Linked DNA regions of Sus scrofa. The main gene of each other region encodes a partner of the protein of the gene in region 3 in a complex. Links are inferred from orthologs where the notes say so. Each region holds a gene or a part of one and is shown on either strand. Other genes may lie near its edges.

The links. Proteins that work in one complex are often made in the same cells at the same time.
Region 1: PIGA (region 3) and PIGY share a complex: the UniProt entries of both Homo sapiens proteins name them as parts of the glycosylphosphatidylinositol-N-acetylglucosaminyltransferase (GPI-GnT) complex. The link is inferred for Sus scrofa from reciprocal best matches to the Homo sapiens genes PIGA and PIGY.
Region 2: PIGA (region 3) and PIGC share a complex: the UniProt entries of both Homo sapiens proteins name them as parts of the glycosylphosphatidylinositol-N-acetylglucosaminyltransferase (GPI-GnT) complex. The link is inferred for Sus scrofa from reciprocal best matches to the Homo sapiens genes PIGA and PIGC.
Region 4: PIGA (region 3) and DPM2 share a complex: the UniProt entries of both Homo sapiens proteins name them as parts of the glycosylphosphatidylinositol-N-acetylglucosaminyltransferase (GPI-GnT) complex. The link is inferred for Sus scrofa from reciprocal best matches to the Homo sapiens genes PIGA and DPM2.

What each region holds. Positions count from the first base shown.
Region 1 is NC_010450.4:130,524,328-130,531,963, reverse strand, and holds PIGY (phosphatidylinositol N-acetylglucosaminyltransferase subunit Y), read right to left. Parts: upstream 4,394-7,636; 5' UTR 4,322-4,393; coding exon of another isoform or gene 4,119-4,321; intron 3,021-4,118; coding exon of another isoform or gene 2,879-3,020; 5' UTR 2,790-2,878; coding exon 2,574-2,789; 3' UTR 1,981-2,573; downstream 1-1,980. UniProt on the Homo sapiens protein: Part of the glycosylphosphatidylinositol-N-acetylglucosaminyltransferase (GPI-GnT) complex that catalyzes the transfer of N-acetylglucosamine from UDP-N-acetylglucosamine to phosphatidylinositol and participates in the first step of GPI biosynthesis.
Region 2 is NC_010451.4:114,822,992-114,829,219, forward strand, and holds PIGC (phosphatidylinositol N-acetylglucosaminyltransferase subunit C), read right to left. Parts: upstream 2,988-6,228; coding exon 2,094-2,987; downstream 1-2,093. UniProt on the Homo sapiens protein: Part of the glycosylphosphatidylinositol-N-acetylglucosaminyltransferase (GPI-GnT) complex that catalyzes the transfer of N-acetylglucosamine from UDP-N-acetylglucosamine to phosphatidylinositol and participates in the first step of GPI biosynthesis.
Region 3 is NC_010461.5:11,878,591-11,885,627, reverse strand, and holds part of PIGA (phosphatidylinositol N-acetylglucosaminyltransferase subunit A), read left to right. Parts: exon of another isoform or gene 1-702; intron 703-1,844; 5' UTR 1,845-1,906; coding exon 1,907-2,624; intron 2,625-6,730; coding exon 6,731-6,863; exon of another isoform or gene 6,864-7,037. UniProt on the Homo sapiens protein: Catalytic subunit of the glycosylphosphatidylinositol-N-acetylglucosaminyltransferase (GPI-GnT) complex that catalyzes the transfer of N-acetylglucosamine from UDP-N-acetylglucosamine to phosphatidylinositol and participates in the first step of GPI biosynthesis.
Region 4 is NC_010443.5:268,419,165-268,426,915, forward strand, and holds DPM2 (dolichol phosphate-mannose biosynthesis regulatory protein), read right to left. Parts: upstream 4,394-7,751; 5' UTR 4,346-4,393; coding exon 4,343-4,345; intron 4,050-4,342; coding exon 3,960-4,049; intron 2,689-3,959; coding exon 2,586-2,688; intron 1,812-2,585; coding exon 1,753-1,811; 3' UTR 1,109-1,752; downstream 1-1,108. UniProt on the Homo sapiens protein: Regulates the biosynthesis of dolichol phosphate-mannose. Regulatory subunit of the dolichol-phosphate mannose (DPM) synthase complex; essential for the ER localization and stable expression of DPM1.

The sequences.
Region 1 (7,636 bases), on a different chromosome or scaffold from region 3:
TCTCCAGAGCCCCCCATGCAGCCGTGCCATCTGTCGGTGCCAGAGTGCTTTCACACGGAGTTAGCTTGTTCCTCGGTTTTACAAAGGAAGCGGGGAAGGATTCGGGGGCCTGAGGATGACGCGCCGAGATGTGAACTTGCCTAGTTAGAAGGCTTGTCGGAGCCATGCGTTCACGCCTCTCGGAAGTGCTTACTGCCTCTGCCTCTCGGAAGTGCTTACTGCCTCTGGGCTAAGCATTCGGTTAAAAACCAACAATTTACTATCAAAAACAGGCACTTACGTGCAAGGTTAAGTGCTAGAATAGAGCGAAAAACATACGGGACTTAGGAAAACAGTAAGGGCGTCAGGCTTGGGCCAGAATTTGAATCTAAGCATTTTGATTCCTCATTCCATTTTTCACATAAATAGAAAAGATGAATTTGCTCAAAATAAAGCTTCGCTCTGCAGGGACTGAGAAGGCAAGTCACACCGCCAAGTGGTTTCAACTTCAGTTCAAGTATTAATTGTTACTCTGGGTAAACCACTTAATCTCTGTGCTCTAGTTTCCCTACCTGTAAAATGGTGCCGATACTTCCTACCCAACCCCTCATATTTGTGTGTGATATGCTCATTAGAACTATCCCTTATGTAGCTTGTACTATACGAGTGATTGCTAGAGGAATTCTACTAGTGAAAGGATAGAGTTAACACTGAGGTCCCCCAGGGAGACACTAGTCAGTTTCCTCCAAAATGATTAAAATGCTTAACTTTTGCAAGCTGAAACTGACTTTTCAGAACAGGGTGCTTGTTCTTTCAGCAAAATGGTTTCATTTACACTGACTATAGAGATATTTAGGGCAAATTAAAAAGAACAGTAATACCATTTCAGGAAATGACAGGTACTTCTATTGTCTCCTGATTATTTGTATTTTTCCCCAGGGCAATTTTTTTTTTCTTTGTAGGGCTGCACCCAAGGCACATGGAGGTTCCCAGGCTAAGGGCTGAATCAGAGCTACAGCTGCCAGCCTACACCAGAGCCGCGCCAGATCAGAGCCCTGTCTGCGACCTACACTACAGCTCACGCCAACGCCTGATCCTTAACCCACTGAGCGAGGCCAGGGATCGAACTTGCAACCTCATGGTTCCAAGTTGGATTTGTTTCCGCTGCACCACGACGGGAACCCCCCAGGGTAATTTTTAAAACGTGACTTGCACTATAGTGTATACACTGAATTAATGCAACAGAAAACACATCTAACCTTATACTTTATTTTTTTCTAGGGCCGCACATGCGGCTTATGTAACTTCCCAGGCTAGGGGTCTAATTGGAGCTGTAGCCACCAGCCAGAGCCAGAGTCAGAGCAATGCCAGATCTGCTCTGCATCTGCGACCTACGCCACAGCTCATCGCAACACCAGATCCTTAACCCACCGAGAGAGGCCAGAGATCAAACCCACAACCCCCCAGTTTCTAGTTGGATTCATTAACCACTGAGCCACAACAACGACGACGGGAATGCCTAACCTCATGTTTTAAATTTTCTTTTTAAGGGGAAGAATCACTGTCTAAAGCTTCTTTTACACTACTTTAAAATTCTATTAAGAATCAGTTAAGGTTACATTGAGTTCTTAGGCTTCATGAGGGTAAATACTGAAACATTTGTTATACTTCTGAAACAGTTATTGTACTAATCAGTCTTATTGAAAATTCTGGAAAATCAATAACTATTAATGTGTCAAATGCTCATGCCCTTAGTATTGCTAAATAAATAGGTCTCTTATGGCAGAAAAATAAACTGAAATGTGGCTCAATAATCGCCCTAACTAAACTCAACAGGACACAATCAGCTATTTGCCAGTCTTTCAATTCCACCTCTCCTCACAGCACATACTTTCCTGGGAAATTCTGTTCTATTTTGGGTGCCTCTCTAAACATATAATTTCCTTGTCTTTGAATTATATTCTTGTGACCAAAAGGAAAAAAAAAAAAAAACCAAACACAAAACTGCAAATTGTTTTATGGAAAATGTCAATATCTTATTAATAATGTAAGCCATCTGATGCCAAAGAAATGAAGGCAATTTTACCAACTCAGAATTTTGGCAAGTACATGAAATTTACATTTTATTATAGTTTTATATCACACTAGTCCAAATGCATTTCTCTACAATTACTCCCCATAGCTCCTTGGAATTATCTCAGTCATCCTTCACATGTGGCTTTACCAAAGGCTTTGAACCTAAAAACAAACCTACAATTTCGAATTAGTAATTTTTAATTATGAATGGGATAAGAACAAGCCATCAGATGATGGCTGTGGGGGTGCTAATTTCCAACAAGCCACTTTGTTGAAATGTTTCTTCCGAGAGACCAGGTATAAATCAGAACCTTCAAAAAGCAGGGGAAGAACCAAAATACAAGAAAGAAGCCTCTTGCAGCTTAAACGTCACATAGTCCTAAACCTCTGACAAAGGCTAATAAGCAAAGCCTCTTTCCTGCAAAGTCTGGGTTTCCAGTATTTCCATGTGGCGGAGCTTTCGGACACACTCACTCAAGCATATCATGAGTTTAAATACCATCGTGGCTCCGGCTGCGTTAATTATGCCGGAAGAGTTTAATACCCATCCAAGTCCAGAGGTGGAAGAACACGTAAACGGGGATGGTGATGGGCAGGAGCAGACTGTAGAAGCACAGGCTGGCTGTGCTGGTGCAGCCCTGGGGGAAGCTCTCTTCCACGGAGGCGGAGTACAGCAGTCCTCCCAGAGAGACCAGGGGGACAAGGACAGTCAGCGTGGGAAGAGACAGAAACATTCTTCTCTCCCACCCACCACCCGCCACGCTGGCTTCTTCGAAGGTGGATGGTGTTTAGAAAATTTCCTTGTGTTGTGTTTACGTATGACCTAGTGCTGCTTCATTTCTTCTTGCTTCTTATTTTGATGTGTCATCCTAGCTGCCTGTGGTATCATATTAGGAATCCCGTCAATAATCGGATAGGCTATTCCCAGCTCTTCATTAATCAATTCATTTGTCGATGGTTCATATCTGAGGGGCAGAAGAAAACCAAAATGAATCCCGGAAGAGTCTGAGGTTCAATAAACAGTAACATTTATCCAATTCTTCACACAGTTAGAGCCAGAAAAGCAGAATTAGACTGTTTTTCATTCTAAAAGCAGCAGTAGCCAATTCAACCATTTCTCTTAGAAAAGGAATCTCTAATTGTTCCCATTTTAGTCTGTTTCTCTCATTTTCTTTTTCACGTTATTCTTAAGCTATGCCTTAGTGGAAAAAAAAAAAGAAAAGATCTCTCCTTTTCATCCAAATATTCCTTCATGACTCTTTTAAACCCTCAAACGATCCCAGCTAATTTACTACTGGAACAGACACGAGAGGAAAATTCAGCTTCTTCGCTTATCAGAACACCTGCCTCACTGATCCATGAGAAGGAAACCACGGAAGCAGCAATCTACCACCCAAAGGCAGCCACTGATGACACTGCGGTGTTTGCTAGTATTGTCCACGTTCAGGTTTAGCAGCCTGCAACTGCAGAGATGTTTATCCTAAAGAGTCTAGGTGAAAGGTTAAGAAGGCCTTTACAGAACCGGCTGGTCGAGAACTAAAAACCAAAGGGCCGCACACGTAGCTGATGCGCTTAAGATCCTACCCGGCGTTTTCGCAACAATCTGGAAGCTATCACATTTTTCATCGCCTTGCCTTAAAAATCTGAATGCCATGGATTAGTCTTCCGAATCCCGAGTTCATAACCCTGGCTGTACAGGAAGATCACTTGGGATCCTTTCAAGAAAATACGCAGTTGCTCTGGCTCGGCCCCAAGGCCTTCGGATTGAGCCCGGGTGGGGCGTTGCCTAGAGATCTGCGTTTTAAGAAGGATTCCCCCGAGATTCTAAAACGCTGCCGGCGGAGAAGCTGCCCGCCAGGATCCAGGCCTGCGAGTGGCCGGTTTGGTCCGGGAGGCCTGGGGCTCGGCTGGGGCCTCCTCCCGCCCTTCCCGCGGCGGAGCGAGTACCCGGGAAGCTGGCGGGCCCGGGTCCAAAACATGGCAGCGAAGAACACCCGGGTGACCTGAACGTCTCCCCGGCGACAGGGGGCCACCAGGGAAAAGCCGCAGCGGACGAATCTTACCTGAGCGGCTTCTTGGACAGCGGGCACACCAAGAACTCCAGCAGCGCCGGGTCGAAGGCGCGTGGCGGTTTCCCCTCCTTCTTGTTCTCGTCCGCGGACGGCCGCGAGCCCGAAGCGTGCAGGCACCTCCTGGCGACCGCGGACGGCGGCGCGCGTGTCCCTCGCAGCGCTAAGGCGAGCCGACCGCGCGCTCCGCTCAGCATGGTCTGGCCGCCGGCGCGCGGACCTCCGCACCCCCTGGGCCGCTCCGGCCGCTCCAGCCGATCCCGGGGAGTCCCGCCCAGGCGGCCAGGCCCCGCCCCCCGGTGCTCGGGAAACGCTGCCCCCGACGGCTGGAGGCCCGCTCTTTGGTTCCGAGGGCGCTCGGGACCCGACTGCTTTTCCCGCGGCACCGCTCGGTATGGAGAGCCCCGCCTGCAGCCTGGGCTTTCTGCGGCTCTTCCTGCCCGTTTGCAGGTTGCAGACAAAACCCACGCTCAAGTGGAGGCGTCCTGAGTTTTCACCAGGGCCTGTCGCAGGGCCTCCAGGAAGCCAGTGGCCGGACCTCAGAGTCACACAGTGATAGACTTGGACCTCCGTGGTTATCACCAAAAGGAGGTTTCCAACACACTGTCACACTGGGTATGTTAAAAAGCATTACTTGTTTTATGTGTATCTGTCAGTCTTTGCAGTACCACACTTCCTATAACCTTGTTTGGCTTTTTTTTTTTCTCCTTTCATTAAAAAAAATATAAGAACGGGAAAAGAATGGCTTAGTCCTCTTAAACTTAAGATGCCCAGTTTCTTACCCTGGGCTCAATGGCATAATAATAGCACCACTCATTTGCTTCTGTAAATGAGCTTGGAAACCGCAAGGAGTCTAAGTAACTGTGTCCTTTAATTAAGTGGGTGATCCACACAGTGGTTTTTTTCTCGCCCCGCATTTGCTTCTGACTCTCCCAGAAAATGATGCGGATTTGATCTCTTTCTTATAGTGTAGGAGGTAAGTGCCGGGGGTCCGGGCCTGACACCTTGGTCCCAGGTGCATCGTTTACTAGTTGTAGGGCTCCCGCAAATCTCCTAACTCCCCAGCTTTCTTTTCTTTTTCTTTTTTTTTTTTTTTTTTTTTTTTTTGTCTTTTTGCCATTTCTTGGGCCGCTCCCGCGGCATATGGAGGTTCCCGGGCTAGAGGTCGAATCGGAGCTGTAGCCGCCGGCCTACGCCAGAGCCACAGCCACGCGGGATCCGAGCCGCGTCTGCAACCTACACCACAGCTCACGGCAACGCCGGAACCTTGACCCACTGAGCAAGGGCAGGGACCAAACCCGCAACCTCATGGTTCCTAGTCGGATTCGTTAACCACTGCACCACGACGGGAACTCCCTCCCCAGCTTTCTTATCTGTGTAATTAGATTAATTATTGTTCCTACCTCATATAATTCCATCCTGGGGCTTAAAATGTGCTAATGAATGCAAAGAGTATTTAGAAAAATGCCTGTGGCAAATGAATGCTCAGTTAATGGCATATGTTGTCATTTTTATTTTCTCTATTCTTTGCAGCCCAGTATACTAGAAGATTCTTGGTTAGTCATCAAAATCCACCCCCTTTTTTTGTCCTTTTAGGGCCGCACCTGCAGCACATGAAAGTTCCCAAGCTAGATAGAGCTCAAATACGAGCTGCAGCTGCCAGCGTACACCAGAGCCACAGGAAAGCCAGATCTTAACCCATTGAGCGAGGTCAGGGATCAAACCCGCATCCTTATAGATACTAGTTGAGTTCGTAACCTGCTGAGCCACGAGGGGAACGTCCAAATTTTCTCGTTGTCTCGCTAAATATTGAATCTTTTCTTGCATCGTTGGGGCTTTACCACTTCACACTTTGAGCTCCTGGGAGGTGGGGATAGGAGTTGAGGGATATATAGATACACATACAAGATTGTATGTCCAAATTTCTCTTCCACTCAGCAGTGCAAAAGCAGAGGCAATTTGTGTTGTCTGTTCACTCTACTTTAAAAAATCTACTACATCATTGGATGCTCTTTGTTCACTAATGTGCAAAAGATTTCAGCCTGAGGCAGCTGTCAGGGATGTAGCCTCAAGAGGTCCCGTTGTTAAGTTCCTATGTTATTTCCCACTAGACCATAGTAGGAATTAATTTTTCAGGTGTAGTTAGTTGATACCTTGGGCTCTAGGGAAGGAGTGAGGTATAGGAAAGAGGGTTCAGCAAGGTATTGCAATGCAGAGCTTGACTTTGGCTAGCTCTGGTGGGCCAGGCCGGAACCCAGCCCCCAAGGTAGGAGCAAGCACCCATGCTTAAGACAAGCTTTTTAGTCTCAACTCACCTCACCTGGCTGATAGAGCCTCATCAACTGAGTTTTCTAACCAGTTATAAATAGCTTCAGTGTGCATCCACGAAGAAGGTTGGAAGCAGATCAGTTTAATTTATATTAGTATTGGGGAGAAATGGAGAGTACTAGCAAAATATCGACAATATCTCAAGTTTATAACACCCCAAATCAACATCCAGTATTTAAGGAACATCTGAGAGTGTGAAGTATTAGCCGAAACCATGTAAATATGAAGTTGCAAGATGTCAAAGCAAAAATGTTTCTCAACAGCCCTCAGAAATTAAGGAATCCAACTTATTTCTGCATGGTAGTATCCTGAGCTGAATGTATAAAATTGTATAAATTGTATAAAATTGTGAAATGGGTCCTTTTTACTATTGGCATGGCTCGGATCTTTCCCATCACAGAGCTCTGGGCTTAGGTACCATATTAGCTGTGTGACCTCTGAAAACTCTTTGCCTCAATCTTCTCATCTGTAAAATAGTATCATCATACTACCTACCTTATTAGGGTCGTTGAGGGGATTAAATCAATTCATACAAGTCAAGCAGCTAGCATGGGGGCTGGTACAGAGTACACATTATAAGAATGTCAGCAGATCGGTGGAATTCCTTATGCTGAAGATGGAGAAAATTCTGATAAGAAAGGAAATCACAGTATACCACTGGGAACCTTTAGTTTAACTGAACGTGGAATTTTGATAATTTCCAGTGTGGATAATACTGAAACATAACTCTTAGGTTATCACACCCATTACGTGAGTTAGAAATCTCCAGGCAGTGGAGAGGCTAGAATATACATTTTAAGCGAGTTCCATAGGCATTCCTGCTGTGGTGCAGTGGGCTAAAAATCTAACTGCAGGGGCTTGGGTTGCTTCAGAGGTGCAGGTTCAATCCCCAGCCTGACTCAGAGGGTTAAAGGATCCAGGGTTGCCACAGCTGCAACTGGGATTCAGTCCCTGGCTGGGGAACTTCCACATGCTGCAGATGCAGCCACAAACTAATAATAATCAAATCCCTTGGAGTTCCTGTCATGGCTCAGCTGTAGCAAACCCAACTAGTATCCATGAGGACGCCTGTTTGATCCATGGCCTCGCTCAGTGGATTAAGGATCCAGTGTTGCCGTGAGCTGTGGTGTAGGTCACAGACATGGCTGGGATCCTGTGTGGCTGTGGCTGTGGTGTAGGCTGGC
Region 2 (6,228 bases), on a different chromosome or scaffold from region 3:
TTGGCCCTGTTCCTGATATGGATGATATAATTATGAGCCAACTCTGGTCAGTCAAGGCATGAGCCAGACCCAACACAGGCAGATGGATGCTCTGAGTTCTACACGTCAGTCTCTAAAACCCCTCCCTCCACATCAGTCAGTGTCCTTGGACTGTGAAATTAATCTAACTGGCTTTAGGGAAAACTACCATCCTAACCCTGAAACACTACAGTCATCAGTCCAAATTAAAACCAGACTAAGAATGTGAGGTGCCAGATCTGAAGACAGAGGTTGCCAATCCTGTTCAAGACTTTTGAGAAAAACAAAAAAACACTACTTCTTAGGAATACCACTGCCCTGATGAAACTTCTGACTTGAAATTAATTTCCAGTGAGAAGGGATAGTACAGGAGTTTGCCCCAAATGAATTTTTATGAAGAACCAGCTATTCCTGGAGGTGTCTGATACATTTTGCACTCTCTGCCCTCTTTAAGTCTCCCTACATGTCAGCTCAAAAACAATAGCTAACACATTCAGAGCTGTGTCTGACATTCTTCAAAGCACTTTTCATACACATCATTTACTCATCACAGTCCTAGAGGTAGTTTCATTCCCATTTCACAGATGAAAAAAATGAGACAAAGAACACTTGATTCATTGGCTCAAGATATAATAACCTACTCCCTCCTTAGATAAGCTGAATTGCTCATTACTTGCGTATAAAGCCTAATATTCAGACCCCTGTTAAATCTCCCATTCCAACTTTTCCTCAAATCCTTGTAACTCCCATTGAACTCTTCCCCTTCCTTATGCTCCTGCTAAGAGCATACATGGTGCACTGCACAGTGGTAGTCACATTTTGCATACATGTTATCAGGTCTGATTTAAATTTGACAGCACTTACAAGTCAGATTGTAATTGTAATTACAATTACAGCTATGGTGACTTCATTTAAACTTTACCTGGACTCCTAAGGATTATGAAGCCAGGACAAAGTTCTGACTAGAAACAGTCAGCCAGAACAGAGCAGTGATTACCTTCTTTGGACAGGGCATGCCATCTGCAGTTTTCCAGCTGCCATTAGTCACACAAAGCATGCTAGCTTCACTTGCTCATTGCTGACCTGCCTCCTAAAGGTCTTTGCTACTTTGCCCTCAAATCATCTTTTGCTTAAGAGAATTCCACTTAACCTCCAAGACTAAACTCAAATGCCATCTCCTCTAATATTTCCTCATCACTCCAGCTTGCTTTGACCTCCTGCCTCTTTGATCCCCCTAGCATTTTGCTTATGTATTATGATACATCACACTCCCCTTGCAGTTAATTACATACATGCTTCTAGAACTGAGTAGAAACTCTAGTCAGTTAGGTGACCAATTCTGTGATCTGAGGCAACAAAACTGGATATAGCATCCAGGGTCCTAGGATTTGAGCTGGAGATAAATAACAGAGCCTGCATTTAGTACACAGAAAAAGGCAGACAGAAGTGACTTTACATGCACACATATTTTTTTTCTCTCTCTCTTTTAGTGCCGCACTCATGGCATATGGAGGTTTCTAGGCTAGGAATCCAATTGGAGCTGTAGCCGCTGGCCTACACCACAGCCACAGCAATGCCAGATCCGAGCCTCATCTGTGACCTATACCACAGCTCATGGCAACGCCAGATTCTTAACCCACTGAGCAAGGCCAGGGGTCGAATCTGCGTCCTCATGGATATTAGTCAGATTCGTTTCCACTGAGCCACGACAGGAAATCCACACACATATTCTTTGTGTCCCTTTTGTCTGTCTTCTGCTTACAGAAAAATTGTGAGACAACTTGATGGATGTGTTGTTAATTTTTTTAATAGATAGAAACCACATCACTTCATTTGTTACATTGAATGAGAGGCAATAATTGAAGAGGGCCCCACAAAGCTTTTCCCGCCACAAAATAACAGAAAGGATAAGCACCTTCACCACCCAAGCCTTTGGTTAACTTTTTCTTTTGATTTCTGATCTCCCACCCACATCAGCATGCTGCTTCCAGAATGGAATTCTGCCTTCGAATCTTATACTAGTTGGAGGGCTAGTCTATCAGTTTGTCTTAGTAACAGAATGGAAGTCACCAAACTCAGCTGAGGAACCTGGACAAGTCTTCTTTGATTTCAGCCTCATCCCAAGGCCCATGAATGTTCTCTTTAAACAGCTGCAAGCGAATGAGGTAGAAAGGACAGAGACATGAGATGGAAACCAGCAGAAGGGCAAAGAGTATGGCTCCCACAACACTAATGGACAGGAGGCCTCCCAAGGCTGAAAATGCAAAAAGCAGTGTGACTCCCACATAACTGCAGGGAGTACATGCCTTCAGTTTTTTCTGTAACATGGGCCACAGGGCAAAAATCTGGATGGCAAATGTCACCATGATGAAGGCATGTAGGGACCGGGGCAGGCGTGAGGCAAGGCAGACAGAAGCAAAGATGGCCATGTTCAAGGACAGTGTGCTGGATACAATGGCAGCATTGGCACCATAGTCAAAGAAGATGAGGTGGCCCAATAGCATGAAGACTGACATGGCATAGATGGTGTCAGTGCTGACAGACTCTGTCAGGGTCTTCAGCACCGGTGAAAAGCCGTATGTGAAAGTAATGAAAACTAGGGCACTCTTCAAGTCAGCCCACCGGGTCCGCCCACTCTTCTTCCGTCCTTCACCTCCATCAATGAGATCAAACAAAACATAGCCAATCAATGAAGAGGCCAGGCCAGTCCCGAAAAGCCAGTGGGGTGCCAGAAGACCCTCATCCATATACCACCAGATAACCACAAAAACACAGACACTGCATAGCTGCTGGATCACCACACTGGACTCAAATACTACAGCCCAATACTGGTATTTCCGGGCATAGATGTTTTTCCGGAGCTCTTCCAGGAACCTTCGGTCCACATAGTTATCAGGAAAGGGCTGTCGCTCATACAAGACCTTCTGCCACTTGGCCTCTTTGGTGTTAGTTACAGGCTGTGAACACATTATCCTTTTGCTCAAACTCAGGCTAGTTCAATCTCCGTTGTAGAAGTCCATGTGGTTCTTGTTCTTTATAAAGTTTTGAAATAAGACCTCTCTGGAAATTTCATGTTGAATGTGGTTGATATGGTACCAACCTTCCCTTGCTTTCAAAGGCAGAACCCAGGCTAGACCTTTAGTAGATGAGTTTGTTCTCTGAGGCAGGACAATATAGCCAAGTTCCTAGAAAAAGAGAGACTGTGAATCTATGAATGTTGTGAAAGGTCAAGGGTAGGACTGAGTTAAAATCAAACCAACTTATTGGGTTATCATAAGCTTATTAGAAGTCTGAACAAAATATATATGGTGGCCATCATGTAACTGAGGACATTAAAATTTCATTTCAGATTTTACATTATAATCCCTTAGCAGCTACCATTTGTCAAGAGTGCATACTATGTACTAAGAGCCTTACGTAGCTTCTTTCATTTAATCTCCACAATCCTGGAGATTAACCCAACTAATAAAGCAGCAATTCAAAGTGCTTAGGTAACTTTAGCCCAAGTTAACAGTGGTAATTAGTGGAGCCAGATTCAAAGGAAACTTCTTTCCCAAAGGCTTCACATGTCTCCCTCTAAACTAGTTCTTAACTCAGGGGTTCACATATCCCTGAGGTCTATGGATGGGCTTCAGACCCTTCAACAACCCTCCCAGTCAATGCATATTTGTAGTTGTAATTTATGCAGATTTCTAAGGCTAGGATCCAAAGCTTTTACTGGGTTCTCAGAGGCATCTATTACTGAAAAAAGTTACCGGTCTAAAAACAAAAACCTCATAATAATAAAGGTACAAGCTCTAAGGTTTATTTAACTAAAGCCAAGGACTGGAGATTCTTAATCCCTTGACCGAGTTTAGCAGCCTTAAAAAGAGTTATCATTCTACTTATTTAACGCGAAACTCTAGGAAGGATCGGAGATAATGATCTCCTTTCCACTACTGCAAAACTAAGAGTCAGAAATACCAAGATCATCCAGCAGGTCTGCGAAGAAAATTCTTATGGCCCGACCTTACGTCTTCCATGGAGACCATGATAGGTTTTGCTTCACAAACCAGACGCCCTGGGAGGCTCCCTCACCGCAGCAGGGACCCCAGCCCCGGCATCTCACGGCCGCCGCAGGGGGCTGGAGGGTCCCAGGCGCTGAAAAGGGCAACGCCCGCCCGCTGGGTCGGGGACAGGGCTGGGGAGGGGGTGGGGAAGGGGAGGGTGTCCCCGAGGGTGTACCCCGCCCGCCGCCACCCCTCACCCAGCCTCGGCCCTGCGGGGGATGGCGGAGGAGGCCCGGAAATACTGACTCCCACTCGGAACCCACCTGCCCGCGAGTTCCTAGGGGTGCGCGGCCGGGCGAGGGCGGCCGCCCGCCTCCTTCCCCATCCGGGGCGCCGGGGTCGCGCCGGCGGCCGAGCACTTCCGGGGCCGCCACAACCTCTGCGGCCAGAGCGTCCTTCCTCTGCCCGCGCGGCCTTGAGGTCACTGCTGCCCCCTCCTGGCCGCGCAAGGGAACTCCCGGCTCCTCTCCCTAGAAGAATGGGTGATGCCTGGAAAGCAAATCCTGGACATGGAGATTGGGATTTGGCACCAGAAAGGCAAAGGACAGAGGCTGGACTGGGAGAAGAGAGATTATAATGGCTACTTTGATCGCGCTCTATTATGAAACCAGACCTTCGGCTAGGGACTTTCGAAGCATCCATGAATACACTAGACACATTCACTAAATTTCTGCAAGTATCAAGCACTGCTGTAGGTGCTAGTGATACAGCAGCTAAGCAATAGAAAAAAAAAAAAATTCCTGCCCTCGTGGAACTTTCTGACTCATGCATTGATCTGTGAAGTGATAATAATGTCGTCCTTTCGCGGAAGACAAAACTGATGCTGGGAGAGGTTGTGACTTGTCCAAGGCCATGCTGCTGGAAAGTGGATTAGTCAATATCAACATCCACTTGTTTTACAGCTTCATTAACCAAGACTGACATCCAGTTGTCTGTAGCTTCAAAGTACAGTTCTTTCTTCTTTGTCTCCTAGAAGGGATGAGGGAGAAGGGCCCTGTGACTGAAAGCAGCCAAACACTTAGAATAGGAGGCTGATAAAGTTCAGTTGAAGTCATGGACATTTTAGAGGATACATAAACAGCTAGGAATAATGAAGAAGCAAAGGGATATAGTAGACACAAAAGTCAGAAAACCTAAATTCACTCACTAGCTGTGTGACTTAGCAAATCACACTAAGATTTGATTTCTTCATCTGTAAAATGGAGATAACACTGTTTACTCTTGGGAGAGTCAACAGGGTCAAATACAAAACTTAAAAATGTTTTATAAAGTGTTGACTGCACTGACTTTGGTCATCCTAACAATGGCAATGGTCGGGAGGAATAAATCCTGCAAAATGATCTCTTTCCATTTCTCTCCAGGTTTCTGTTCCAAGATTTGACAAGACTCCCTGGTTTAGCAAGGCCAGCCTCACGAACAAGCCATTAATACTCAGCCTCCCCAAAAGGTAATAGCTCAGCCACTGAGAGCAAAGGTCTCAAGAAAGACCTCATAGAAGATGATTTCTTAAGAGTTAGGGGCAATTATTCAAGGGGCACAGCTGGTCGGTTGAGGGAAAGAAGTAAAGTGCTAAAAAATCAGAAATGGTCAAGGTTTCTGAGACAAAAGTGAGCCCTGAGAATTGGCCTGGCTGAAGAAGGCCAATTAACCTTCCTCTGTACCACCACAACTAAACAATACAAGAGAATTTTTGGGAGTTCCCTTTATGGCTCAGTGGCTTGAGAGTCTGATATAGTGTCTGTGAGGATGTGGGCTCAAACCCGGGCCTTGCTCGGTGGGTTAAGGGTCTGGCATTGCTGCAAGCTGCAGCGTAGGTCACAGATGCGACTGGATCATGACTGGTGTGGGACTTCGATTGCAGCTCTGATTTGACCCCTAGCCCAGAAGCCTCCATGTGCTGCAGGTACAGCCATTAAAAAAAAAAAGAGAAAGGGGGAAAAAGGAAGAAAAATATATACAAAAGAATTCTACCCATAGGCACTGACTTTCAAAAAACTTCCATCCTCTTCATCATTTTACCTTTTCTCCTCGCATTAGTTTGAAATTTACAAATTTTAACTGCGACCTATGCTGCAGCTGTGGCAAAGCCAGATCCTTAACCCACTGTGTGGGGCCAGAGATTGAACCCTCACTTCCATCTGGACCTGAGCGACTACAGTTC
Region 3 (7,037 bases):
TGCTTTCATTATCGCTCATCTTTTAAAATTAAATGGAACTGGAAATTCGGGATTAGGTGACAAACCACAGAGGACGACTTAAAAGTGCAGACTTGAAGAGTGTCATGATTTGGTAGTAGTGAATCTCAATTAGTATTCAGGTCAACAAACACATAATGGAGTGTTTCTAAGACTATTTTTAAAGTAAAGATGACTGTTAATTTGCTTTTTTTGAGTTTGTGGTGAAATCGGAAACTCAGGTTCTAAGGATGGCTTCCCATTGAATAGTTGAGTTTCTGGAAGCATGGAAATCTCAACGTGTAAAGCTGAGGAAGAGTTTCACTCACTTTCCAAGCCTCTCTTTAGCTTTAAACAGCTAAGCATTGATAATCATACTGAATATTGAGCGTCCATTTTGTGCTGATGATCTTGGGAACCCCTGAGCTGAACATCTACTTTAGATGGAGAAAATGGCCCCAGGTCCCTCCCTTTGCATCTCTAGATCAGATTCCAGACGGAAGGGAGGGACGCTCCTGGAGGCAAAACCAAAATAACAAAGGTTAAGAAAATGGAGGGAGCGGCTTGATGTCATCATTCTTGAATAAGGAAGGAGAATGTGGAGGTCTGCGGCGGCGCTGCAGGTGACACTTTAAAAAGCTGCTCTCTGGAGTTCCCGTCACGGCTCAGTGGAAACGAATCTGCCTAGCATCCATGAGGACACAGGTTTGATCCCTGACCTTGCTCAGTGGGTTAAGGATCCAGTGTTGCTGTGAGCTGTGGTGTAGGTCGTAAAGGCAGCTCGGATCCCACGTGGCTGTGGATGTGGCCAGCAGCTGCAGCTCCGATTCGCCCCCAAGCCTGGGAACATCCATGTGTCGTGTGTGCGGCCCTAAAAAGACAAAAAAAAAAAAAAAAAAAAAGCTGCTCTAAAAGACCGTTCTAGGCGTTCATGCTGTGGCACAGTGGATTAAGAATCCAACTTCTGTGGCTTGGGTGGCTATGCAGGTGCGGGTTCCATCCAGGCCCGGCCTAGTGGGTTAAAGGATTCCGCATAGGTCCAGCCACGGCTCATATTCAGTCCCTGACCAGAGAACTTCTATATACCATGGGTGCAGCCATTAAAAAAAAAAAAAGAACAAGAAAGTTCTAACTCCAGGTATATCTTAGTATAAGCCACAGAATTTATACTAGCAGAACTTGAGATTCATTGAGTCGGTGGCTAAGCTCTAGAATGAGCTTCACAAACTTTTCCTGTAAAGAGCTATGTATTTAATTATTAGAATGTACTGGTTTGTTAGCATGGCAAATTATTATATAATGTGGTGTAACAAACATTATTTAAAATCCTGTAGCAGTGTTTTTAGAGCAAAATTAAGATGTAAGGGGAGTTCCTGTCATGGCACAGCGGAAACGAATCCAGCTAGGAACCATGAGGTTGTGGGTTTGATCCCTGGCCTCTCTAAGTGGGTTAAGGACCCCGCCTTGCCATGAGCTGAGCTGTGATGGAGGTCGCAGACGCGGCTGGGATCTGGCATTGCCATGGTTCTGGTATAGACCCTCGGCTACAGCTCCAATTCGACCCCTAGCCTGGGAACCTCCATGTGCCGTGGGTGCGGCCCTATGAAGACAAGAGACAAAAAAAAAAAAAAAAAGATACCAGGACATTGCAGAAGCTAGTTTTGTTATATGGCCCATAGTAAATGCTAAGCAAGCAAAGGTTGTTGAATTCATAAATTCATTATATGCTTTGTATTTCCAGGGGGAAAACAGGTTTATAGTAACGTGAAAACCATATTTATATCTGCATTTGGAGTATGGACTGTATTTTGTCTCTGAGCTGAGATCCCGTTTATTCTCTCTTTCAGGTATTAGAGGACACATATCTTAACTGGGTCCCTCCAAGGACTAATGCCTAAACCATCTCAGCATGGCCTGTAGTGGAGGAGGTGGGCCAAGCCAGCCTCCCTCACCTGCGCTCTCCTCTGTCAGCCCTGGAAGTCTTCCCACATGTAGATCGTGTTCCCATAATATATGCATGGTGTCGGACTTTTTCTACCCAAATATGGGAGGCGTGGAAAGCCACATTTACCAGCTCTCTCAGTGCCTGATTGAAAGAGGGCACAAGGTCATAATTGTCACCCATGCTTACGGAAATCGCAAAGGCATCCGTTACCTCACTAATGGCCTCAAAGTCTATTACTTGCCTCTGAAAGTCATGTACAACCAATCTACAGCCACGACCCTCTTTCACAGTCTGCCATTGCTCAGGTACATATTTGTTCGGGAGAGAGTCACGATAATCCATTCACATAGCTCCTTTTCTGCCATGGCCCATGATGCCCTCTTCCACGCCAAGACAATGGGCCTCCAGACAGTCTTCACGGACCATTCCCTTTTTGGATTTGCTGATGTCAGCTCGGTGCTTACAAACAAGCTTCTAACTGTGTCTCTTTGTGACACAAACCACATAATTTGTGTCTCTTACACTAGTAAGGAAAACACGGTGCTAAGAGCAGCACTGAATCCTGAAATAGTGTCCGTCATTCCTAATGCTGTAGATCCTACTGACTTCACTCCAGACCCATTTAGAAGGCATGATAGTGTAATAACTATTGTTGTTGTCAGCAGACTTGTTTACAGAAAAGGTAATGAAATGATAGCTGCAGTTGCACTGCACAGCCTTTTTGTTTTCCTTGTAGAAAGCTGTTGAATATTTGTGTATGATGATTGTTGGGCTTTTCGTTCTCTTGTACGGTTTTATAACTACTTCTGCATTAAATACAGCCAAGAAGGGTCCAATATTTTGTCCATCCCAAAGGAGGAATTTGTGCCACAGTGGTAAATCATTTAAAAGAGAAAACAGTAGCCTGCTGGTGAATATGTCAGGTCTTTTAAAAGTTTCCCTACACGTGCAGTAAGAACTCCAGGGCCCACTCCCCCACAGAACTGTTTCTTTCATTGCAGATATGTTGAAAACTAAGAATGTGACAGGGGTGAAAATTAAAACCAGCTATTACTGTACTATTTCAGGGATAACCCTAAGGAGTGTTTTGATTTATAGCTTTCCTTTTTATGCATATGCTCAAAGTCAGTGGGCTTGTTCTGCACGTTGCTGTTTCGTAGCTTGCTTATTTCCTTTCATCACAGATAAGACGTTAATGGCAGGTAAGTGATGAAGGAAGGGGGATGAGGCGGCCCGGAATCCAGTCCCGGCTCCATCTCGTTGTGTGATGCAAGACAAGCGGCTTAACGTCTCTGAGTTTCACGTTTTTTCCCTGTTGTGTGCTCTGGGCAGCTTGGTAACCGTGGAAGGGTTCAGTGGTTCCTATGAAGGACTTAGCCCGGGTTTTACTTCCTAAGTGTCTGCTGTTGTCGGGGATTGCTTTAGTGCCTCTGCAGCACTTTGTGGATCCCGAAGTAGAATTTGTAGAGCCTCGCCCATTCAAGGTCTGAAACAGTCCGGTTATCCAAAACATGGACTTCTCACTGGTATTTGCAAACCTCTGCAGCAATCAAAATGGTCATTAAAAGTAGAGAATTATTAAAAAGATGTTATGCACCCCCCTTTTAAACAATTTACTTAAAATGTCATTAACACGCACTGTATTGCCGGTAGCTTGATGTAGGCCTGCAGGCTTGGGAGTACAGGTGCACTGTTTGAGCTGCAGTCACCTACAAAGAGCACAATTTACTGTTGCCAGTTTGGGTCACTTAAATGCAGTGAGAACCTAAAGATGTGTGAAGTGCTGTGCTTCTGGATTTTTAATTTGTTTTTTGACTTGATACAGTGGTTCAGATTACCCTCTAATCTGACAAGAGCTTTTTTCTGTGTCTTGATCGAATTTTTCAAACAGGTCGGCTTAGTTTTGTGGAAACCCCTTTTGTCAGTTTGTCATTTAATTAAGTAATCCAACACCGTAACAAGTACATGGGGCATCACACAGATGTGTGGGCAGAGGTAGCTGATTCTTGGTAACCATGAAGCTCGGCCGTGCGATCAGAGGTTCCAGGGTACTAGGGGGTGGCCCAGGATCCAGATGGGGGCTTGGCTTCGGGTGCTTCATTTTTGGAATGCAGAGCCTAGGTCCATGCTGCCATCCACCACGCGGAGGATGATGAGAATCTTCTGAGCTGCATTTTCAGGGGTGAAGGCAATAACGTGCTTGTTCTTTCCTTGAAGGTGTGAACAGACCTGCATTCCGTGTTCTGAATCCCTCTGGGGATATTGATGATATGTTGTTGGTTGTAACTTTAAAAATGTGCCTAATTTTTTTTTTCACCGAATACTATAGCTTTGTGAGAAAGCTCGCTAAGAAAGAGTAGGATGCATGTGTGGTCAAGGATTAGAGCAAAATTAACTTACCTGTTCAAAGAGTGAACTTGTTACCTTTATTTCACTAATGATGGTATTTTAGCCAGCTGAGCTAACCACCAACACTGTGAAGGTACAACCTTTCCTGTTCTCAATTCAATAATATAACAAACCTTTATCAAACCCTCTCTGTATGCCAGGCACTGTGCAAAAAGTAACATTCTGAGAAGGAATGGCCCCATCTTTAGCCTGAAAGTGAGTAGTTGTATTAATGGTCCATTAATTATTAATAAATTAATTTCTTTAGGAGGTGTTCATTTGGACCAGATATCAAAGGCCGCTTGGAACGTATTAAGTAAGAGAGGATAAATCGAAATTCGTATCAGGATTCCTGGCCGGCCGCTTCCCTCTCCCATGGAGCCCGTTTTGCTCTCATTCGGGGTGTCGCAGCGCCCCGTGCTTGTGCAGGCACGCCGGGCTTGCTCTAGTGGTAATGACGACTCACATTTATATTCTGCAGTTGATAAAGCCTGTGCATGGTACTGTACCTCACTTGACCCTCCCACCAGCTGTAGGGTAGATGTTATCTGCATGTCACAGACAAACTGAGTCTCAGAGAGGGTAAGTAACTCACCCAGGTTACACAGTAAGTAACAGAGATGACAAACCTGAGTTCATTTCTTCTCAAGGTCTCCTGTTCCCTCCGCCCTTGGCCCAGCCACCAATATCTAGGTATAGATTCAGAAGATTCTTTAAAATATTGTTAGACTGTGCTTTAAAAGCGCTGGAATCAGAACTTGCCTTGTCCATTTTGTGTGAATACGGTGATTGAAAATCTCTTTGTTACGTTCCATTGTGTTAGACTCTTGTTAGAGGCACCAGAACCTCTTTTGTTGTGTGTGTAGGGGGGGGAACCTTTATTCTTAGAATAACGTTATAGATCATTGATAACATTAATCAGTTCCATTTCTTTTAAGGTAGTTGTCAGGATTAAATGACAGTGCATTTAAAGTACGTTTGCCTGACACAGTAAGCACTCAGTAAATGTTCGCAATTATGATTATTACTCTGTATGTTTTTTTTTCCTTTTAAAGAATGGATCTTAACCTTTGTATTAGAAGGGAGAGGGCAGGGATAGGCAAAGGAAAAGAGAATCATAGGAGGCTAAATGTTGAAAGTCATTAAGACACCTTCTGGTTTATCTGGAGATCCAGTTGATGGACTTAGTAGTAAACTTGAAACAAAGACAGCTAAAATTTTAATGAGAAGCTTTCATAATTCAGAAAAGCTACTTGTGAATTTGTTTGCTAATGCAATCATATTTTGAAAGTACTAGCAGAGTTTATTTAATAAATCCTACTTTGAATTACTTAATTAAAATGACCCATATATATTATTTCTCCTACCATCCTTTTAATAATTGATCTGCCTGTATTTGGGAAGATTGACAGACGTGCAGTTCTTGTGTGTGTGTGTGTGTGTGTGTGTGTGTGTGTGTGCGCGCGCGCATTTCTTAAATTAAGAAACTTTAAGGAGCTTATTTTACGTTTAGTTTTGAATGTGTACAATTTGTAATTGTTAATGAACTACATTCTCAAAATCAACATTGCTGTCACTTTGAATGGCCACTTTAAGACAAGCAGGGCATGCTTTATTTTACTGCTTTATGTTACCTGAGGTTGTATTTACGTATTATGAGAAAACTTTTATTTAAAAAAAAAAGGTCCAAGGTGCATCCTTTTGTTCTACGGCCTGTGATGATCTGGCACTTGCGGTCCTGCCGCCTTCATTTTCTGTCATCCAGGAGAAGTGAGCCCTAGCAGGTTTGGATGAAACTATTTCTTAGAAATTTTGCCAGTACCATAGTGTTCACTGCAAAATCCTCTGTAGCACCTGCATCCTCAGTAAAGTGGCAGTAGCAGTTATGCTTTGCTGCTCAGCCTTTTCCTATAGCAGGAAGTAGAATCATAGGCTGCTCGAATTTCATAGCTGAACGAGACCTTGGACTTTACCTTGTCTTTTCATTTTCTCTGTCAGGAAACTTTCCTATTACCAAAGAACTTGCTCATAAAAAGACTGGGACAAGACCCAGATCTCCAGTCAGCTCTCCTGCTCTGTAGAAAAGTTTAAAATGTTAGCTACCTCAAATGCTGTTTGTAACAGGCAATGTGTCAGTACAGGTGAATAACAGAGTAGCCCACGAACTGGGTGTGTGGAAGGTCACAGTGGGTGTCAGTGGATATATCTTCAAGAATTGCAAGTCTTGGGAGACCCCCCTGGCATTTTGCAAAAGAGTTCACCCGTCCAGGAAAGGTTTCAAAGAATTAGTTTGGCTACTTAAACTGTTTAAGTAGTTTCCAAAGTGAGTGGATTCTCAGTAGTTCTGATAAAATTTTAAAACAACATTAGTATCTCCAATATTCAACTTTATGTTTTCAGGGACCGATTTGCTTAGTGGTATAATACCTGAACTCTGTCAGAAATACCCTGATTTAAATTTCGTAATTGGAGGAGAGGGACCAAAGAGAATCATTTTGGAAGAAGTTCGGGAAAGATACCAGCTCCATGACAGGTATTGATGGATTCCATGTTGTCTTGGGTGAGAAAATATTGCTTAACCTAAATTCGGTTTTGGCTACCTGCCTGCCTTAAGCAGGCTGCTTCTCCTACATGGAAAAATGCAATGCAAGACCTGTTGTTTTTTTAAAAAGTTTATATAAAATGGGAAACCTTAAAGAATTTATAA
Region 4 (7,751 bases), on a different chromosome or scaffold from region 3:
AGGGATGAGGTCACCTCTAGGTGTGGGGTGAAAAGGCTCTGTTCAGGGCAGAAGACGAGCATGGGTGAGAGGGAGAGACACACACAAAGTAGAATGGGTCATCCAGCCTCTGAAGGTGCACCCGGGGGATGTCACTGGCCAACATCGCAGAGGGGGGCCAAGGAAACATGCTTTGGATTTAAAGATTGGACGTCACAGGTGGTCTGAGTGCGGCCCTCCTAGAATGCTGCCAAGCACCGTGGAGGTGAGCAAATGCCGGGACTTCCTTTTGGGAAGCCTGGCTGTGAAGGAGAGAGACCTGGAGGGAAGCACTGGGTTGATGGGGCAGAGAGGGGGGGATCCCTTAAATGGAGCCTGTAACACATTCATCGAACCCTGAGCAGACCAGCTGGGAGGAAGAGGCTGTTCCCTTGAGAGGGATCCTAAGACATGAGGTTCCTGCTACAGCAGTGGGAGGAGACAGGACCCAGAGCCCTGGCCAGCAGCTCTGCCTGGCCCGGAGGGTGCAGAGAGGAACAGGGAAGGACAGGCAGGTGTAACGGCAGTTGGTGTCTTTTCTCTGATGAGGGCGGCCCCTCTGCTAAGCGGGGGAGAACGAATGTCCACGATGTGAGGGGATGAAGGCTTACACTAGGCACTGTGGACAGGAGAGCTGGCTGCCCAGAGGGACACGGTGCCACTGCCGGGGACTGGGGCTGGGGCTTGTGCCAGCCAACCTAAACACAGTGGAACCAGCCCTGCTCTGGCTCACAGCAGCCCTCGCTGCTCAGAGCCACGCTAAGCTGGGCGGCCGGGTACCAGAGATAGATGATGGGCTTGAGCTTTCAGAGGACTGGCCTGAGGGTCCTTAAAATACCAGGCCGTGCTGGCTGAGCTGGCACAGATGAGGCAGGGGAGAGGGTGATGTGGCGTTGGCAGACTGCCATGCCCCACGGACTCCCCGGGAGCAGCATCAGGCCAGACCCATGTACAACCCCAGGAGGCCCCTGAGGCACCCTCATTGCACAAACCAGGGTCTCCTGACCTGAGACCAAGGCAGAAGCCAGCTCCCAGCCCCCTCTCCAGCCCCTGGGCCGCCCAGCTCCCCCGGTCAGGATGGCACTGAGACAAACACACCGTCAACGTTTATTGTTGTACCCCCCCCCGCCCCCACTACAGACGGGGCTGGGGGCTGGGCCTCCACAAGAAGCAGTCAATGGGGGGCCCTACCGTGGCCGCCCTAATGTGCCGGCAGCCTGTCAGGCCTCCCCCCAAGCTTTCCAGGTCCAGAAATCCTCGCAGGGCCTGGGCCTATGTCAGACCTGGGAAAGCAGCCTTTGGGGAGGAGCAGGGTTGGTGGGGAGAGGTCCTGTGATGGCCCAGAACCTGCCAAGTCCAACACCAGCATGTGACAGGTGGGGAAGTGAGCCAAGAGTGTAGACCCGCAGGGAAAAGTGCCGGGGAGTCCGAAGGTGGCGGAGGGCAGGGGCGATGAGCTGCATCTTTCGGGCACTGAGCCAGAAGGGGGTGAGAGGGAGACTTCCAGGGACGCCTCCCTCCTGGCTTCTGGAAGGGGGAGGAGGGGAGGGGAGGGGCTCTGGGCAGTTGGGGGGCGAGTCCTGAACAGCTCCGTCCCCCTTGGGCCGGGGGGGGCCTTCAGGGCAGCTGGGCTTGAGGGGGGCCTCAGGGCCTGGATGGGTCCTGTGGGCCCCCCGCCTGGGTCTGCCCTGGCGAAGAAACGGAAAGGGCCGCAGCCTTATATCGGCCAGGCCCTCACTGAGCCTTTTTGGTCACCTTCTGGCTCTTCAGCATCACGGAGGTGATGAACACTCCTGGAACACACGGGCCAGAAAGGCCAGTTAAGGTCCTGGCTCAGGGCTGCTGGGAGGCCGGAGCAGGACAGAGCATGACAGAGGGACCCGCAGGCGGGGCCAGGCACCGACCCAGCCACCCTCCAGGTTCCCCCGGTCATCTCCCAAGTGGCTCGCTAAGCCACACCCCCACCTATATTCATTCAACAAACATCAGCCGAGGGCTGACCACAGGCCACCTGCTGGATTTGTGTTTCCGATTTTACAGGGAATAAGATCCACCCAACCATCCATCGACTCAGCTAGTCAACCATCTGGCCACCTACCTCCCCAGCTGCCCACTCAGCACCTACCATCCACCTACCCCATCATCCAGACACCTGATTGCTGACTCACTCAAATGACTTTTTTGAGCACCAACTCAGTGCCACAGCATGTGCTGGGCACTGAGGACACAGTAATGATGAAGATACAGTCTTTGGCCTTAGGAAGCCCACACACTAAACCCTGGGAGTCAGAGGGGTGCAGGAATCAGAGGCCAAAGTGACAAGGGGGTGAGGGGTGATGGTGGTGGAAGGAGCAGGAAACAAGGAGACACCCCATTAGAGTCCAGTGAGCCTGAGGATCGAGAAGCCTGCAGCCCTGAGGGATGAACACGGAAACCCCAGGGGGTGAACTGAGGGCAAGGAGCCTCCAGCAGGTGTACCGCAGGGGCCAAAGTACAGCCGCATGTTCAGGTGTAGGAGAGGGTCATGGGGTCCCTCAGACACCCCGCCCAGGGTTGGGAGAACTTACCCACAAAGAGGAGCAGCAGGAGGCCGGCGGCCAGCGGGATAGCAACAGCATAGGCCCGGGGCAGGAAATACTTGTGGATGACATGCTGACTGTCAATGAATGGCTGGCACAAGGGCAGAGCTCCGGTGAGCATGCCTGGCTCTGCTGAGCGCCCCAAGCCCAAACATCCCACCTCCTCTGTCTCAGGGGCTGACCCCGTCAAAGCGCTGGGGCTGCATTTGCTTTTCTTTAAGATGATGGCATCTTGGGTGCTTTGGTTGGTTCCCTTCCTTCATTTTTCTACAAGTGGTATACTAGGTACTTCCCTGGTGCCTGCTCTAAGCTGCTGCTGGGGACCTGGCTTAAGTCCCCCACAGCTTAGCAGGGGCAAAGGGTACATGAGGAATCCCAATCTGGGCTCCAAGATCTTTTGTTTTTGTTTTTGTTTTGCTTTTTAGGGCTGCACCCTCGGCATATGGAGGTCCCCAGGCTAGTGGTGGAATCGCAGCTACAGCTGCCAGCCTACATTACAGCCACAGAAATGCGGGATTTGAGCCGCATCTGCAACCTACACCACTGCTCATGGCAATGCCGGATCCTTAACCCACTGAGCAAGGCCAGGGACTGAACCCGCAACCTCATGGTTCCTAGTTGGATTCGTTTCCACTGCGCCATGACGGGAACTCCACAAAAGTTTTCTTTACTAAGATTTTTCTCCCAAAGAACATCAAGTTCTGCAAGATTTTGCTTCCCAGAGTTCCTGTCGTGGCTCAGTGGTTAACGAATCCGACGAGGAACCATGAGGTTGTGGGTTCCATCCTTGGCCTTGCTCAGTGGGTTAAGGATCCGGCGTTGCCATGAGCTGTGGTATAGGTTGCAGATGCCGCTTGGATCCCACGTTGCTATGGCTCTGGTGTAGGCCGGCAGCTACAGCTCCGATTCGATCCCTAGCCTGGGAACCTCCACATGCCACGGGAGCGGCCCTAGAAAGGCAAAAAAAAAAAAAAAAAAAAAAAGATTTTGATTCCCAAACACACTGCACATTTTAACACATTTTTCCACCGGGGGGGGGGGGGATATCCCAAAGACCCTCACAAAACCCATTGGCACTTGTCATGCCCAGGAGCCCGCAGGATAACCAGAAGGACTAGAACTCCCATTAAAGGCACAGGACCTTACAGTGTAGTGGTTCAGGATTCTACCTTAGGTCTGAACCTTCTCCTTGAGCCTCGGCTTCGTCATCTATACAATGGGGACACCGCTAGTGTCGTCCTCCTACTGCTGCTCTGACGCTTTCATTACATGGGCAGGTAGGCCTGTCACGTGCTTAAATGTTAGGAGTTGGCTTCAAGATCTAGGGATAGGAGGTGAGAGCGGACGAGGAAGCACACATACCAACAGAATCACCCAGGTGGTGTAGTACGTGAAGATGATCAGGCTAACGGCGACGAGGCCGAGTCCCACCACCTGGTCTGTCCCTGTGGCCTGGAGAAAAGGGAAAGCTCAACTGAGGAAGTGACCCTCCATTTAGGTGCACTAACGGAGGGGGGAGTTGCCGCCTGATTACGCCCATTCACTCAGCAGGCGTATCCGACGTGGCTGACGAGGTTTCCATTTCCTGGCTTGAGACAGAGTGCAGGCTAAAGACCTACCACCCGTACGATGGGCCGGCGGGAGAGTGATCCCGGCTCCCGAGAGCTCAAGCCTCAGCTTCTGAGTAGACCTAGGACCCCACACCCAGACGCCCTCATTCCCAGGACTCCCAGCCCCAAGCTCACCATTTCCCCAGCGCTCCAGGCACCGGAGCCGTAAGCCACATCCGGTTCCGCATCCGGGCCCTCCTGGCCTTGGGCCGCGGGGCCCGTCGGGAGTCGTAGTCTTTAGGCAGTCCCAGGACTACGTCGCCCAAGACAGGCAGGCACCGCCTCCCCTTTGCATTTCGGGAAATGTAGTTTTCAAGAGTATTGTGGGCCGTGTTTCCGAATCACCCTGGGAAATGGGACCCAGTGGGGAACCCAGATAGGCTGCATTTATGGTCTCAGTCGGGTCGAACTCGACCCAGAAAAAAACCCCATCTCAATATCCGAGTCCCAAGGCCAGAGCGGGATGGGGTGGGGGGTCGAAAGTCCCATATTTGAGACGGGGAAAATGAGGCTCAGAAAGAGGCAAGCACTTGAAGATCACAATCCGAGTAGAGGGTGCAGCCGACTCCAGAACCCGAGGGCGCTACTTCCTGGTGTGGTGGCCCCAACTCTTCTGTTGAGGGTAGGGTGCAGACAAACGTTCACCGGATAATGCTGAGGGTGGAAGCCTTAACTAATTTTACTCCACAATCTCTTAATGATACTGCAGAAGCTATTCCTACCCTAAATATGGAACAAAAACAAATAAGAAAAGTAGTGCTGCAAAACCGAATGGCCTTAGACATACTCAGTGCAGGCCAAGGAGGTACCCGTGCTGTCATAAAATCTGAATGTTGTGCCTATATTCCTGATTATTCGCAGAACGTGTCTGATTCCCTGCGAGATCTCCGGCAGCAGATTCGTGAGATGTCTGATCCAGCTCCATCCAGCTTTTAGAGCTGCCCTCTGGAACGGGTTGACCTCCTCCTCCTCCTGATGGAAATATTTGTTCACCATAGTCATCATTGTGATCTTGAGCCTTTTATTTGGACCCTAGATAATTAATTGTAGGTCTTGCTTTGTTATGTCCTGATTAAAAGCTATCAACCTACAGATAGTGAAAGAAAGGGTACCCAAGGTAATGTATTGAAGCCCACTCAACCGACCGTGCCATGAGTGGAGACCTAACCACTTTCCCTAAGGACACCCCTTGTCAGCAGGAAGCAGTCAGAGCAGTCGGTCATTGTCCCCCCGCCTCCAAAGTTAAAGTCTCCAACTCTGGGGGCAGGGGGGGGGGGCACTGAGGCAGAATAGTCACTCAGGTAGTCAGTGTTAGGAGCTTGGGCTTCGATGCATTCTTGGATATGTCTATTGATTAACATTTGCGGCTAAAGGGCTCCAGGGAGTAACATCCCCACATGCCTTGTTTCCTCCAGGGAGTGTACCTACGCCCAGACGGACATTAATCTCAAAGCCCCCTGACTCAGGCTACGGGAAGAGAAGGGCAAAGACACCATGGGACTTACGGGACATTTCCACCCCTAAGACCCTATTGGACAAGGACTGAACTGGGCAAGGCCAATGGGAGAAAACCACAGCTTTCTGGACCTCACGTTGGTTACCCCCCCCCCATCTTTAAGGGATAAAAACCCCAATAGAGAGTGGGGCTCTTCTTGCCCTTCCCAGCTGTCCTGGGAGCTGTTTGCTTTCCTGTAATAAAGACTTTGCTTGCTTGCAAAAAAAAAAAAAAAAAAGAAAGAAAAAAAAAGATTCACCAGCCTGGAGTGGGAGGAGGAGGGTCTGGCTTGAGTTGCTGGGATGGGGCTGGTTTTGATTGGCTGTGAGGGCACCCCTTTACCGTTGCCAAGCTTCTCTGGCGAGCCGCTCTTCACTGCAGGAATGAGGCCGGGGTGGGGATCCTCCCTCCCCTCTGCCTCTCGGGTCCCGTGTGTGCCACAGCCCAGACAGGCCTTCTGACCGGTGTGCAGGCCCCTCCCTAGGCCTGGAGGCCAGATCACCCACCAGGTCTTCAGCTCGAGGCCTGGAACACTGTCTTCCCACGGCTAGAGGCTGCTTTTCACCCATCAGGTCCACTGGAATCCCCCACTTCCCGGGAAGCCCTCACTGCAGGGCAGTGGTTCCGTCTGTGCTCCACAGCCCCAAGTATGTCTCCAGGAGGATACTTGTCACTGCATTTAATTTTTATTTTTTAATTTTTTTTTTTTGTCTTTTTGCCATTACTTGGGCCGCTTTCACGGCATATGGAGGTTCCCAGGCTAGGGGTCCAATCGGAGCTGTAGCCACCGGCCTATGCCAGAGCCACAGCAACGTGGGATCCACAGCTCACAGCAATGCTGGATCCTTAACCCACTGAGCAAGGCCAGGGACCGAACCCGCAACCTCATGGTTCCTAGTCGGATTCGTTAACCACTGCACCACGACGGGAACTCCCAACTGCATTTTAATTAGCTGATTTACTTTTGTGGATCCAGCCTAAATGACTATGAGCTCCCTGAGAATGGGGTCTGTGGTCCCTGCTGTATCTCCAGGACCCAGAATGAGGGCTTGGCACAAGTAAGAGCTTCCCATAGCCAAGCAGCCTGAAGATTTGGCGACTTCTGGAATGCTGCAGAGCCCAGTGTCTGGGGACGCCAGGCCTCTGGAGGGGTCGTGTGTGCTGTCTTCACTTGGGGAGATCAGGTCTGAGCCTGGCATGGCCTGCTCCAGCGGGCAGCATCTCTCTCCTCGGGTCTGAGCTCATCTCAAGGCTGAGAGGCACCTTCTCCCCCTACCATTTGGTACACTGAATTTTCACTTAGCATTACTGTTCCAAAGGAGCAACCTTTTGGGGCCTACAGCCCAATTCCTTCCCTCTTGGTCTCAGGAGAATCTGAGCTCAGCCAGGAGCCAGCTTTCCCTCCCCGAGTGCACAGAACAGAGGAAGGGACAGAGAATCAGCCTCCAGGGTTCACAAGGGCCAGGAGTGGGCGCTGGCGCTGAGAAGGGCTAGGGATAACGCAGCGCTGCTGCAGGAATGAGGCCTGGTGGTCTGGATCTTTCCAGCTTGTCCAAAGTCCTGAGGCTTCCTGCCCCTTCTGAGCAGAAGTGGCCCAGGGTGACTTGTCTCTCCCGGAGCTTGGCTGTGGAAGCTCCTCTGTAACTGGAGTCGGGGGCAGGGAGTGAGCGGTGGTCCAGGCCTGGAGACAGGGCTGGGAGGTGCTTGGCACCCGTCACTGGCCAGGATCCCCGTGGAGGGTAGTATGCCCACTTCCTCATTTGATCCACGACTGCATTTGCAGCTGAGCTATCTGAGGCAGAGTTATTTGTCCTCAGGCATGCTTGTCAGAAGCCACCCGACCCTGGGGAGGTTAGAACTTGGTCTCATCTATGAGATGAGACCTGCCACCTCCTAGGTGTGAGACGGGCAAGAAACTGCCCTTCTGGGCCTCAGTTTCCTCCCTGGAGTAGTAGCAGTGGTCATGACTCTGACTGCAGCCAGGACGTGGAGAACCCTGGCCACCTACATCTTCCCCACCCCTAGAATGTCACCTTATACATCTGGCTG